3 linked regions of the Xenopus tropicalis genome follow. The protein of the gene in region 2 interacts with the protein of the main gene of each other region in a pairwise test. Links are inferred from orthologs where the notes say so. Each region holds a gene or a part of one and is shown on either strand. Other genes may lie near its edges.

Evidence for each region.
Region 1: the proteins of tsr2 (region 2) and zbtb9 interact in binary tests that used the Homo sapiens proteins (3 or more experiments, as listed by UniProt). The two-hybrid records come from large-scale screens. The link is inferred for Xenopus tropicalis from reciprocal best matches to the Homo sapiens genes TSR2 and ZBTB9.
Region 3: the proteins of tsr2 (region 2) and rps26 interact in binary tests that used the Homo sapiens proteins (3 or more experiments, as listed by UniProt). The two-hybrid records come from large-scale screens. The link is inferred for Xenopus tropicalis from reciprocal best matches to the Homo sapiens genes TSR2 and RPS26.

Annotation. Positions count from the first base shown.
Region 1 is NC_030684.2:71,796,136-71,799,889, forward strand, and holds the start of zbtb9 (zinc finger and BTB domain-containing protein 9), read right to left. Parts: upstream 2,305-3,754; 5' UTR 2,245-2,304; intron 2,222-2,244; exon of another isoform or gene 2,125-2,221; intron 2,119-2,124; exon of another isoform or gene 1,949-2,118; intron 1-1,948. UniProt on the Homo sapiens protein: May be involved in transcriptional regulation.
Region 2 is NC_030684.2:25,373,010-25,376,763, reverse strand, and holds the start of tsr2 (pre-rRNA-processing protein TSR2 homolog), read right to left. Parts: upstream 2,360-3,754; 5' UTR 2,147-2,359; coding exon of another isoform or gene 2,116-2,146; coding exon 2,035-2,115; intron 1,942-2,034; coding exon 1,851-1,941; intron 1-1,850. UniProt on the Homo sapiens protein: May be involved in 20S pre-rRNA processing.
Region 3 is NC_030678.2:137,759,027-137,762,758, reverse strand, and holds the start of rps26 (40S ribosomal protein S26), read left to right. Parts: upstream 1-867; 5' UTR 868-1,035; coding exon 1,036-1,038; intron 1,039-1,934; coding exon 1,935-2,112; intron 2,113-2,797; coding exon 2,798-2,928; intron 2,929-3,732.

The sequences.
Region 1 (3,754 bases), about 46 Mb from region 2:
CTTCACAAAACTGTGTTTCGTAAAGGTAGCCATACACTGTAAGGTCTGCTTGCTTGTCAATGTCATAAAGCAAGAGGATCTTTTCCCGATATGCCCACTTACTAGGGCCAAACAATCAAATTAAAATGGCAGGCATAGGTGCCACTGGTTCAGGTCAGATGCCGTTTGGGAAGGCCTGTCGATGGTGCCTATACACTGGCAAATAAGCTGCTGAATCGCTCTAAGGGACTGATATGGGCAGCTGAATCTGGCACATGTGGCCATCTTTACGTGTGGCTACCTTATTTTGGAACAGGATGCAAGAATTCCAAAATACAAAAAAATATTTTAAATATTTTAGAAGTAAATTGATACAGTGCAAATGGTTTCATACTGCTCAAGGGCACTACGTCGTAGTGTTCATGAAAGGCATGAAACATGCAGGGCAACTTTTTTATTTATTCATTTTTGGAGTCAATGCACCTATACAATACACTAAAATAACCCTCTGTTTAATACTGCAACTACTGCTTTTTCCCATTAAAAAATGAAACTATACAATTAATGCTACACCAGGGTTTTTTTCTTTTAGAGAATAAGACAATCTACTCAAACCCTGGCTGACAGAAAGACATCTTCCTGTCTGTGTGCACACAAGCATTTTCATGACAAGATCCATCCTGCCAGGCACTGACAGGCATGTAGTACCACACTAGGCTCCTGTCCCCTGGTGTAGATATCACATGGAGTAATATTGGTGTTTATAGTTATACTTTTCAGAATTAATAAACATTTTTGGAGAGCACAAGCCTAGCTAATATTATAATTGTACCTAAGTCTAATATGCAGGGTTGTCAATGATGCAACATCTTTAAACAACCAAGGAGGCTTCACCAGGGATATTTGTGTATATGCTGCAACCCAACAAGCTCTCTTGATAATCAGACTATAAATAAGATTTTTACAAGACACCCAAAAGCCTGGGCCACAACATTAGGGACTGTATACACTTTTACTTCTTTAAATAAATTACCAGTGCAGGGCTGCAAATGTATAACAGTTTTTCTGAGCAAGGTGCAGAGAAATAGTCCCTGCTATGTGCCCACAAGCCGTCTTTACTTTGGCATCACTGCACTTATGTAAAAGCTCAGTATATAGAGTGCTGGGCACCAGGTAGAACAGTGTGACTGTCTGCTGGACAATCCTCAGGCTCTCGTAAGCGCTCACCCTTCAAAAAAGGCATGTTTTCTGCACTTTGATCACCACATATTTTTTATCAGCCGAAGAAACATGTTTAAAATGCCCAAAGTCACTCACATACTAAAATATCTGCCTGAAATCACTGGTTTAAGCACCTGTCATGGCTACATACTGTCTCCCCTGAACACAATATCCCGTGTGAGGCTTTGTTTGGTCACAGCTAATGATGGATTTCATGTATCTGCATCAGAGAAACATTATAACATATAAAGGGCAGCCAATTCCATATCTGTTAGCAGCCATTTACATGGCAGGAGTGATGGTAGGAAAGTGATGCCCAGCACTGCCCCAGTTATCCCTCATTCCTTACTGGGCTATGTGTCCCATTATTATGTGTCCCCCTGCGAGCTTGTACCTTAGTCTCCCCTAGCGATCAGGCAGTGGGACAGGGCTGAGGGAGGACAAGGAGCAATAAGGCCCAAAATACAAGTACATATAACAAAATGCTATCCGATAACCTGTTCCCTTCCCAGCCAGGCCCACACACCCATTACCCAATCAATACAGCCTGTGGCCTTATGGTACATAGTTGCTACTGGTGTCCGTTACTGTAAATAGTGACTCTACCGCTGTAGTTCGGCTGTATGTGAAGGATGCTGGGAACTGTAGTCCCAAACTAGCTAGAAGGCCACAGACTAGACACAGGTTTGTGAGTTCTGATAAGTGCACTGCTCACAAAGGCGCTATAAACCCCACCCCTGAAACATACCGTATTACTTCCCTGCTCCCCTGAAGCTCCCTAAATACAGCAGCCCGTCACTGCACCAGCGGCAGGACAAACATAGCCAGGCCCGTGGAGGCCAGACGCGGGACAAACGTGTGTAACCCTGGGAAACCATCAAATTGGAGCCATGCAAAACGCGGTCAGGGACAAGTATAACCAACCCTGGGACTCCGTAGTCACATCTCTACGAGAGTAAGGAGGAGGGACAAGTAGGCGCTATCCCCGGGAAAACGAGCTAGGAAACATCCGGGCCTGTATCACATGGACGAACATTACCTTACCCCTTGTCTCAGAGCGCCGCTCACACCTGTAGTTACCCCTGGAGACCAGAAGGGGGATATATTGCGCTCTTTCCTTTAGGAACCTACCACAAGCACAAGTAGTATGAATGTGCTGTAATAAACCGTGGCTATGATACAAACTGCTCCATAGAGGGTTATAGCTGTGTGGTGTGCCAAGTGATCTGCCTCTCACAGCACTATGTTACTATTGCCTGCAAAGCTCCAGGCTGAGTAGCCTGCTTTCACATACATTATCCAATACAAATTACTAACCAGGTCAAAGAACTAATAAATGATTCGTTTTAGTGTGATGGACCAAAATAGGGAGCTGGAGCAAATAGAAGAAGTACAGATAAAAAGGAATATTTAAATGTGAAATTATGTGGTGATATGCATTCTCTGGTATATTTTAAGTTTATAACAGGCAGTGTCAGACTGACCCACCAGGATACCAGGGAAACTCCCGGTGGGCCCAGGGGTCAGTAGGCCCTCCTGCTCCAAACCATTTGGCCTGTTTCATGGTCATTCCCTATTTCTGAATGGGAACAAATACAAATAATAGATGGAAAAATAGATGCTAGCATGTAATAGGAGAATAATATTTTGGAGAGTGGGCCCATGTTCTAAGGTTTTCTGGTGGGCCCCTGGTATTCCAGTCCAACACTGATAACAGGTACAAGAGATCATTACACCAAACTGATTTATGCTTCCAAACAGTAGCGGAACTATACCTCCCCAGGCCCAGGTGCAGGGCATGCAGCAGGCCCCCCCTTCCCCCTTCTGGACACATTTTTGAGGCAAAGTTGCACTGGTACAACAATGCAAGCATCCACTGTCCAAAGTTCATATTTAATTATACCTACCAGTCCCAGACTGGCCCACCAGGATACCAGGGAAACTCCCTGTGGGCCCAGGTGTCAGTGGGCCCTCTTGCTTCTAACTATTTAGCCTATTTCTGGATGGGAACATGGAAGCTTGGTAAATGGATGAATAAACGTTAGTATGTAGAGAAAAGAGACTAGGATAATAAAGAGTTTGAAGGAGGAGAGGAGGAATTAAAGTTTTGGCAGTGTGCACCTGGCATCTCATTCTGACACTGATACTTAGCCCCTGCAATTACATATATATGATACTTCTTTGTTAAAAATATTTTTTTATTTACTGACACAACTATATCATATGACACAGTCAAGAAAAATGGTATGTGAGAAGAGACTTTTTTAATTATATACAGACAAATACTGGGAATATGTGACCTGAAAAGGTGGATCTGATCCTAAAGGGGATCTAAAGTCAAAAATAAAATCCCCTTTCAGGCTCCTTACCTCCAGAAACCTACCTCCAATATACTTTCATTACAAAATATCAATTCAGTTCAATTCTCCCTTCTCTTTTATTGTTCTGACAGTTGCGGATACAAATCTCTAGGCAGCATGGACCCGAGAAGAAAGTTACCCAAGACTAGTGCCTAGTGGAGAGATCCCTGCAGGAGTGCAGCTATATAGACAAG
Region 2 (3,754 bases):
TTTTTTTCTCCCTAAATAATAAAAACCCTCATTTAAAAACTGCATTTTGTGTTTACTTGTGTTATCTTTGACTAATAGTTAAATGTGTTTGATGATCAGAAACATTTTGTGTGACAAACATGCAAAAGAAGAAGAAATCAGGAAGGGGGCAAATAGTTTTTCACACCACTGTATAATCTCTATATGGCCAAAGTCACACCTGGCTTGTCTCAGCCTGCATTTTGTAGGCACTCCACTAACAGTCACAGGTTTGGCCTGAGTGCAGCTACATGGAGGGGAGTGGAGATCAACCAAAAAAAAAAAACAAAACCCATTAATGTTAAGGTGAATATCCCTTTAACACAGGCACAATCACAACTGTGGAAACAAAGGCAGATTTATGAAACCTGAGGGTGCTGCATTAGTTTTATGAGATTTGGCAAAGGCCAAGCCATCAGCTTACGTGCACATAACTCCCATCAGATAGCTGGCAGCTTAGAGTATCCTATTGGGAGAGGACCATGTGGGATCATTGATGCTGTCCTTGCTCAGCAAGTAATCTGAGCTTAGAACAACTGAGCATGCCCACAAGCCAACAGCCAAAGCAAATTCCTGAGGGAGGGGGCTGAGTGGGTTACAGGAGGAGAAGCAAATCTAAGTGATTAAGGGGGTTGCAGCCTTACTATTAACCTCTGGACAACCAGTGTGGCAGGAATTGAAAGATTTCAAAGAGGCTGTTCACTGATTACATTTTTGTGTGTGGGGTTTACATGTCCTTTAAAGCTGTATTCTATATAGAGTTGTGAGCTAAATATAAACATCAGTCAGCAGTCTAAAGGAGAAAAAAAGCTCAACAAATTTTAAAGCTATAAATGTTAGACCCCATGTCTTGAGCTTCTATATCTGCCCAAAGATGCCCCCAATAGCTCCCATTCTTCTTTTCTGCTGACTCGCTGCAGTGTGTGTGTGTATACACACAATATACAATTCATAATACAAGCAGATTATTTAGTGCAGGTTCACATTACATGGCAGCCTAGAAACCAGTGCACACTGCATAGAATGACTTCTCTCGACCCCTAAGCTTTGCTTCTCTACAGCTGCCCAGTGCTCACTGAGCATGTGCAATGTCACTGACACTCAAAATAAGGCCCAACAAAACCGTAAGATGCATATTTCTATGGTATAAACATAAAACCATGGGTAATTAATATCACAGGGCTGCCGAGTCTCTGGCCTAGCCCAGAAGTTCAGTAGATGCAACAAAGCATTTCTAGTCATTATTTAGTGTTTATTTGTCATTTCATGGCAAACATTTAGGCAACTTGCAAATAGCTGATAATAAAAAGAGAAAAGCCACCAATACCAAGGCGCACAACAGGGCATGTAGAGCAGTAAATTAAAGACGAACTTAGAAAGGCAAATAAGTATTATATTTACCCTTTAACTATCAATCTATAAATAGCGAGAGTATTCGCTGTTAGTACGAGTATCTCACATCCTATTTGTGTCTGTTAGTTACCCTCCCATATAGATTGTAAGCTCTACGGGGCAGGGACCTCCTTCCTCTTGTGTCCTCGACTCTTAACTTATTGCAGCTGTATTTATCTGTATCTATCTGTATTTATTGTTGTACTTTGTATTTATCTATTATTATCTTTATAACCCCCTGTTTGTATTAATGTATTCTACTGTACAGTGCTGCGTACATAAGTAGCGCTTTATAAATAAAGACATACATACATACAAACATACATACATACATGCTCAAACCTCAATAAAACCTGTGGTGGGGCCCCCAACCCCCCATTCTACACATCCCTTCACTAGTTCATTAGTTAAAAGCCCATAAATGATCACCTTTCACGTACCATTAGAGTTAAAATACTGGTCAATTGCTCCAACCATCCACTCCGCCTTCTCCTGGCTGTGAGGCCCACCAAATCCATTCTCCACCGCGATCTATGAAACGACATTTGCAAGTAATGTACAGGCACAGACTCGCTTGCTTACTAATACCCGTATATAAAATGTTCATTGAATGCAGCAAATCACCTGCAGCACCGGCCAGCTGCCCAGAACAGCCCTGACAGCTTCGCCGAACAGCACACGTGAATCTACGCAGCGCGCCGCCATGACACCTCTCTCCCAGCAGCAACCGCGTCATTCAGGCCCAAAGGAGGAGGCGCCGATCACATCGATAGAGAATGCCGCAGCCATCAGCGCAGAGCGGATCACAGGAGCGTCTCCATGGAGACAGGCATAGTCATACATGCGCACTATAGGGGAATGGCAGCTATTAATCAGCTTAGTAACTGCTGCTCCGTATGGCAAGGCTGTAGGGCCCAAGGGGTCCCTGCTAGTATCAGAGGGGCACAGTAGGAAGTAGAAGGGGGACACACAAATTGGAAAAATGTTAAACACTTGAAAAAAAAAAGAAATGCTGTGGTGGAAACTTTCTGACCACTCCCATTTTTGTGACCACATCCCTAAAATATCACTCCCATTTACAAAATTTGGCAGGTTATTTAAAATTTTAACACATGTTTGGGGGGGTCTTGGTTTATTGTGTTATTACAATTTTGATTGTAATTGTATCTTTTTTTAGCATTCAGTGCAGGAGATCAAAGGGAAATGAGGGACAGAGTACACAGAGGCCCAAACAGCCCACAACAGCCCAATAATTAGTGACTGTCTATGGCCAGGGCCGGATTTCTACTTGGGGCGCCCCAAGGCCGCCCCCATTCGACGCCCCCCCCACCCCCGCCGCAAAAATGCAAATGCGCCTAACTTGCGCATTCCCCATTCCTCCGTATGGGAGCAAAATGTTAAAATTTGCTTGCAGCGGGGCGGCATGCCACCCCTGTGTATGTGCCGCCCTAGGCCCGGGCCTTTGTGGCCTCGCCACAAATCCGGGCCTGTCTATGGCATCTTACAGCAGTGCCTGTGCTACAGAGGAAGCAGGCCCTGGATTTGCAGTGAGGCCCTAATAATGAGTAATTTCAATAATCATATAGTATTCACATTAAGTTTTGCCTGATGCACCACACTCTGTTACAGTGCAGTTAAGCACGCATACTGGCATAACTATAGAGGAAGCAAACCCTTCAGTCACGAGAGGGGGGCAGACTGTGGGGTCTGCTACCTCTGCAGCTCTAAAAAATTCCCCTCCCGAGCTACTAGCTTACCTATCTGGTGTGTTTGGCTGAGCGCTTGAAGGGAGGTCCATGCCAGGTCCCCTGCAGGTTTCTTTGCAGGGGGGCCCAGAGCAGCATTATTACACCACTGCATCCACATCATAGGCAAGTGTTGCACAGTAATACATAGTATTACCCCCATTGCAAGCATGCTCTTCTATGTCACTAGTGAAAAATCCATTGTGGGAACAGTGCCTGGCACACTAAGTTACATTTGCACAGCACTGGAGTATCACACGGTACTCCAGCATGCCAAAGAGCATGCTCAGCTGATGCTTTTGCCTTTTTCTGTGCCACCACACCATTATTCCTGTCAGGAAAAATCGGTGGTGGGCACAGGCAGCTGCAGTTGGTCTTATGATGGACATGGAGCTAAACATATAGAGCATACCTCCCAACATTTGAAAAATGAAAAGAGGGACAAAAAGATTTGGCGTGCGCAGCGCGGCAAAATTTTTTGATCACGCCCCCTTTTGTGGCCACGCCCCAATTACCACACCCCATTTAAAAAAAATACCCCTTTTATATAGATGAAATGGCGGGTGCAGACGAAAATGTGCTATACCCTCATACTGAAT
Region 3 (3,732 bases), on a different chromosome or scaffold from region 2:
ATTAAGTTATTGATATACATTTTTTATTACATTCTAACTTGTATTGCTTTTCTTGGTAAATCTTTGCAGTTAGGAGTACAGGTATGCGATCCCTTATCCAGAAAGTTCCGAATTACAGGAAGGTCATCTCCCATAGACTCAATTTTAATCAAATAATTCAGATTTTTAAGAATGATTTGCTTTTTCTCTGTAGTAATAAAACAGTACCTGTACTTGATCCCAACTAAGATATAATGAATCCTTATTGGAGGCAAAACAATCCTAACAGGTTTATTTAATGTTTAAATGATCTTTTAGCAGACTTAAGGTATGGAGATCCAAATTACGGAAAGACCCCTTATCCAGAAAACCCCAGGTCCCCACCATTCTATATAACAGGTGCCATACCTGTATTTACCAACTTTGGGTTCATCAGAATGTGTCCTGTACAGAATATCTTTTACAGTTCGGGGCTTTATGACACATGCAATACAGGCAATGTGCGTTTGTTATAAACAGGATCATGCAATTATGCGACTCGTATCTAGCGCATAGAAATGCCATATCATCTATTTCAGCTGCGGTAAAAGCCCCGCAAAATGAATTGCGGCTGCACATAGAGCATCCCCGTAGCTCTTTCAAGACCCCAATCCCTTGGGAAGCTCTAGCCCCAAGCAGCCCCTGCTCACACGAGAATTCTCTACTGTCCTTTATGCAAGTGCTTCTCCTGTACAACTTTATCTCCAACAGCAAAAACACGTACAACCGGAACCATCTCCATAAGCGAATGAAATGCGCATGTTCAGTCTAACCATGTGAGGTATAGAAGCGTACATTGCGTGTCTTTATCCTTCCGCGGTGACGAAAGCAAAATAGTTCCAACCCGACTGAGTACGCCTACTAAGAACCCAGGCGAGGCGCAGTAGGAAAGCGCTCAGCCAACAGAGTGGCTCGTCTTATCGTTTTCAGTGTTACGTCATCTCCGTCGCGCAGGGATTGGGCTTTATAAGGGCAGCGCGGCACCTTCCGGTCCTCTTTTCAGCCCTCGACTCCAAAATGGTGAGAAGTTGCTGCCTGGAGAGGCAGCGTTAGGCACAATCATTCGTATTTATAAACCCCACCCGTATAGTATCGCTAGTGCTGCGGCCTGTGCGCTTTTCCCGATACACGGCGGTAGAATGACAGGGCGCTGTGCGCGCCGCATGCTGGGGAATAGCACGAGGTCTATGGCGCCTTCCCCTTGTGGGATCCGGGCCGGGGCTCCGAGGCACAGGGGTAAAGCGCTGTACCAGCCATGGGGAATTAACTATTTGCGGCTGATTTCAACCTTCCGTTCCCAAACATACGTTTGAGTTACATCGATTTATCGTATGTCGCATTTGGGTTACTGACTGGGTGCCCGTCACTATTCCTGCGTTATACACGGATATATGTATTGGCTTGTGTCTATGCCTCGGCATCTTACAGCGGTATTACTCTAATGTTTATGTCCGGGCGGTGCTGCTTTACGATAGTTGCGTCCCTTGGTGCTCAGTGGGAGACTGTAGCAGTATATAATGGGATTTGCACATTTTAGGGTAAAGGCAGCACCATTCTGTGTCAACCTGGGTATGTTGCATTAAATATTGGGCTTAATGTAAAAAATGTAAGTTTGCATCTTTTTTTAGTTATCCATAGCAACCAGTCAACATGTATCATTAGCTGGTTAGATTGGTTGCTATGGGTTACTAGATGTGGGCAAATTTAAAACATATTGCCATATTCTAGTGTTGACAGGTTGGAGCCTTGCCAAGATCCCCCATAGACCTTTGTGCTCATTAATCACACAAATTAATATCTGCACAAAATAATGGGATGCAAGTACTATGTGATGGTTAGTGAGACTGAGTGCAAAATGTTTGTCTTAACAAACCGTACATGATTTTTACTATTTTAACACATTGTCTTCTGCACAGACCAAGAAGCGAAGGAATAACGGACGCGCCAAGAAGGGCCGTGGTCATGTCCAGCCCATCCGTTGCACAAACTGCGCTCGCTGCGTCCCAAAGGACAAGGCCATCAAGAAGTTTGTCATAAGGAATATTGTGGAAGCTGCAGCTGTCAGGGATATCTCAGAGGCCAGTGTCTTTGATTGTAAGTTGGTACCCATTGGATGGGGGTTATTTACATGGCCTTTAGCTAAATGCTTTTATGAGGGTACGACAGGCTGCAGATTGTATAAATTTTAACCTTTTGCAAGCTTAGTTTATTTGCATAGGATCGTGTACACTTTGCTCTTAGAATTCATTATTGTATAAATGAGGCTATACACATGTTCGGCTTTAACAAATATTTTACGCAACTGCATTTTGCACTGAAGCATAGGAGGGGCTGTCAGAAAAGATTTGCTTCCCTTGTAGTAGGCCAAGAACAAGTTTATTGACTAAGTTTAGAAGCTGTTACTGAGAAGTGCTGTGTCTTCACCCTTAACCACGGAGTTTATGTAAATGTTCAGATGTACAGTAGTCTTCTTGCATATCTGTCCTCTTGGCTGACTTCCCTCATGGTTAGGTGACTGCTACGGTCTATGACCCCATTCCCAAATGCTTGTGATCAGATTGATACAAGAGTATGCATGTCATAGGGCTGCTGTATCTGCTAAATGGCACAGCAGCCCTACAACATCCTACAGAATAAAGCTGCAGGTGAAATTATGTAGGAGGGCTACACAATACTAACCTCTGAACAGCTTAGCTTGTTACTAAGTGTATTTTCTAATATCCATGAAATATTAGTTTTATCAAATTGCATTAACAAAGGCCTTGATCTTCTCTTCCAGCATATGCACTTCCCAAGCTGTATGTGAAACTGCATTACTGCGTCAGCTGTGCCATCCACAGCAAGGTGGTCAGAAACCGCTCCCGTGAAGCCCGTAAGGACCGAACACCACCTCCCAGGTTCAGGCCTGCGGTAAGTTCCTTACCAGAAATCTTGAAATTTAACTGGGCTTAACTTCTCTGCTGGCCTCTAATCTACGCTGCATCACGTGTCTGGCAAGATGGGGCAAAGTAAGATCTAAGACTGGCAGTGTAACATTAATGGAGCTGGCAGTCAAGTACTTGGCAGCCAGTTCCATATATACTAAGATCTGTGGCAGGTCGGCAGTTAAAGGAAGGAAGTCTGGTTTTGAAAAAACATGGGCTTGTGTATAAGCTCAATGCTAAAACTTTGTCAGGCATGTTTGTTGCCCTTACTGGGCAGCACAGTTAACATAATTATCTTTCCAATGTGTTTAGAACACCTGGAAACTTGTTGGGTAGGTGTTTTGTATTTTTTTTTTTTTTCTTTCATTTCTGCATGCCATTTATTTTGTGAGTAAATACAGAAACAGCCTGGAAGCTCAGATCCAAGAGCAGAGTGACCCTGTCTTGGTAACAAGGCAGTGAATTGGCAGTCGGAACTGCAGGTCACTAAGATATTTAAAGGGGTCCAAATAAATGCTGGGTTTTTTTTGTTTAACCTCATTTAAGAAAAGTGAGTTTTTAATAGTTTCTAAAGCACTTTTTAATGCAAGTGCAGTTGAAACATTCTGGTTCTGACTCTGAAAAAATAACATGAGACCGTTCTATAGGTCATTTACAAATGGCTTTATAACAATATTTTATCAATGTATATTGGAACATTGCTTAAGTTTTGTATTTGGCTGGAGTACCCCTTTAGGCCCTAGTAAGCATTATAGCAGATAAAACCTAGCTAGTATTGCAGAAATGTAAC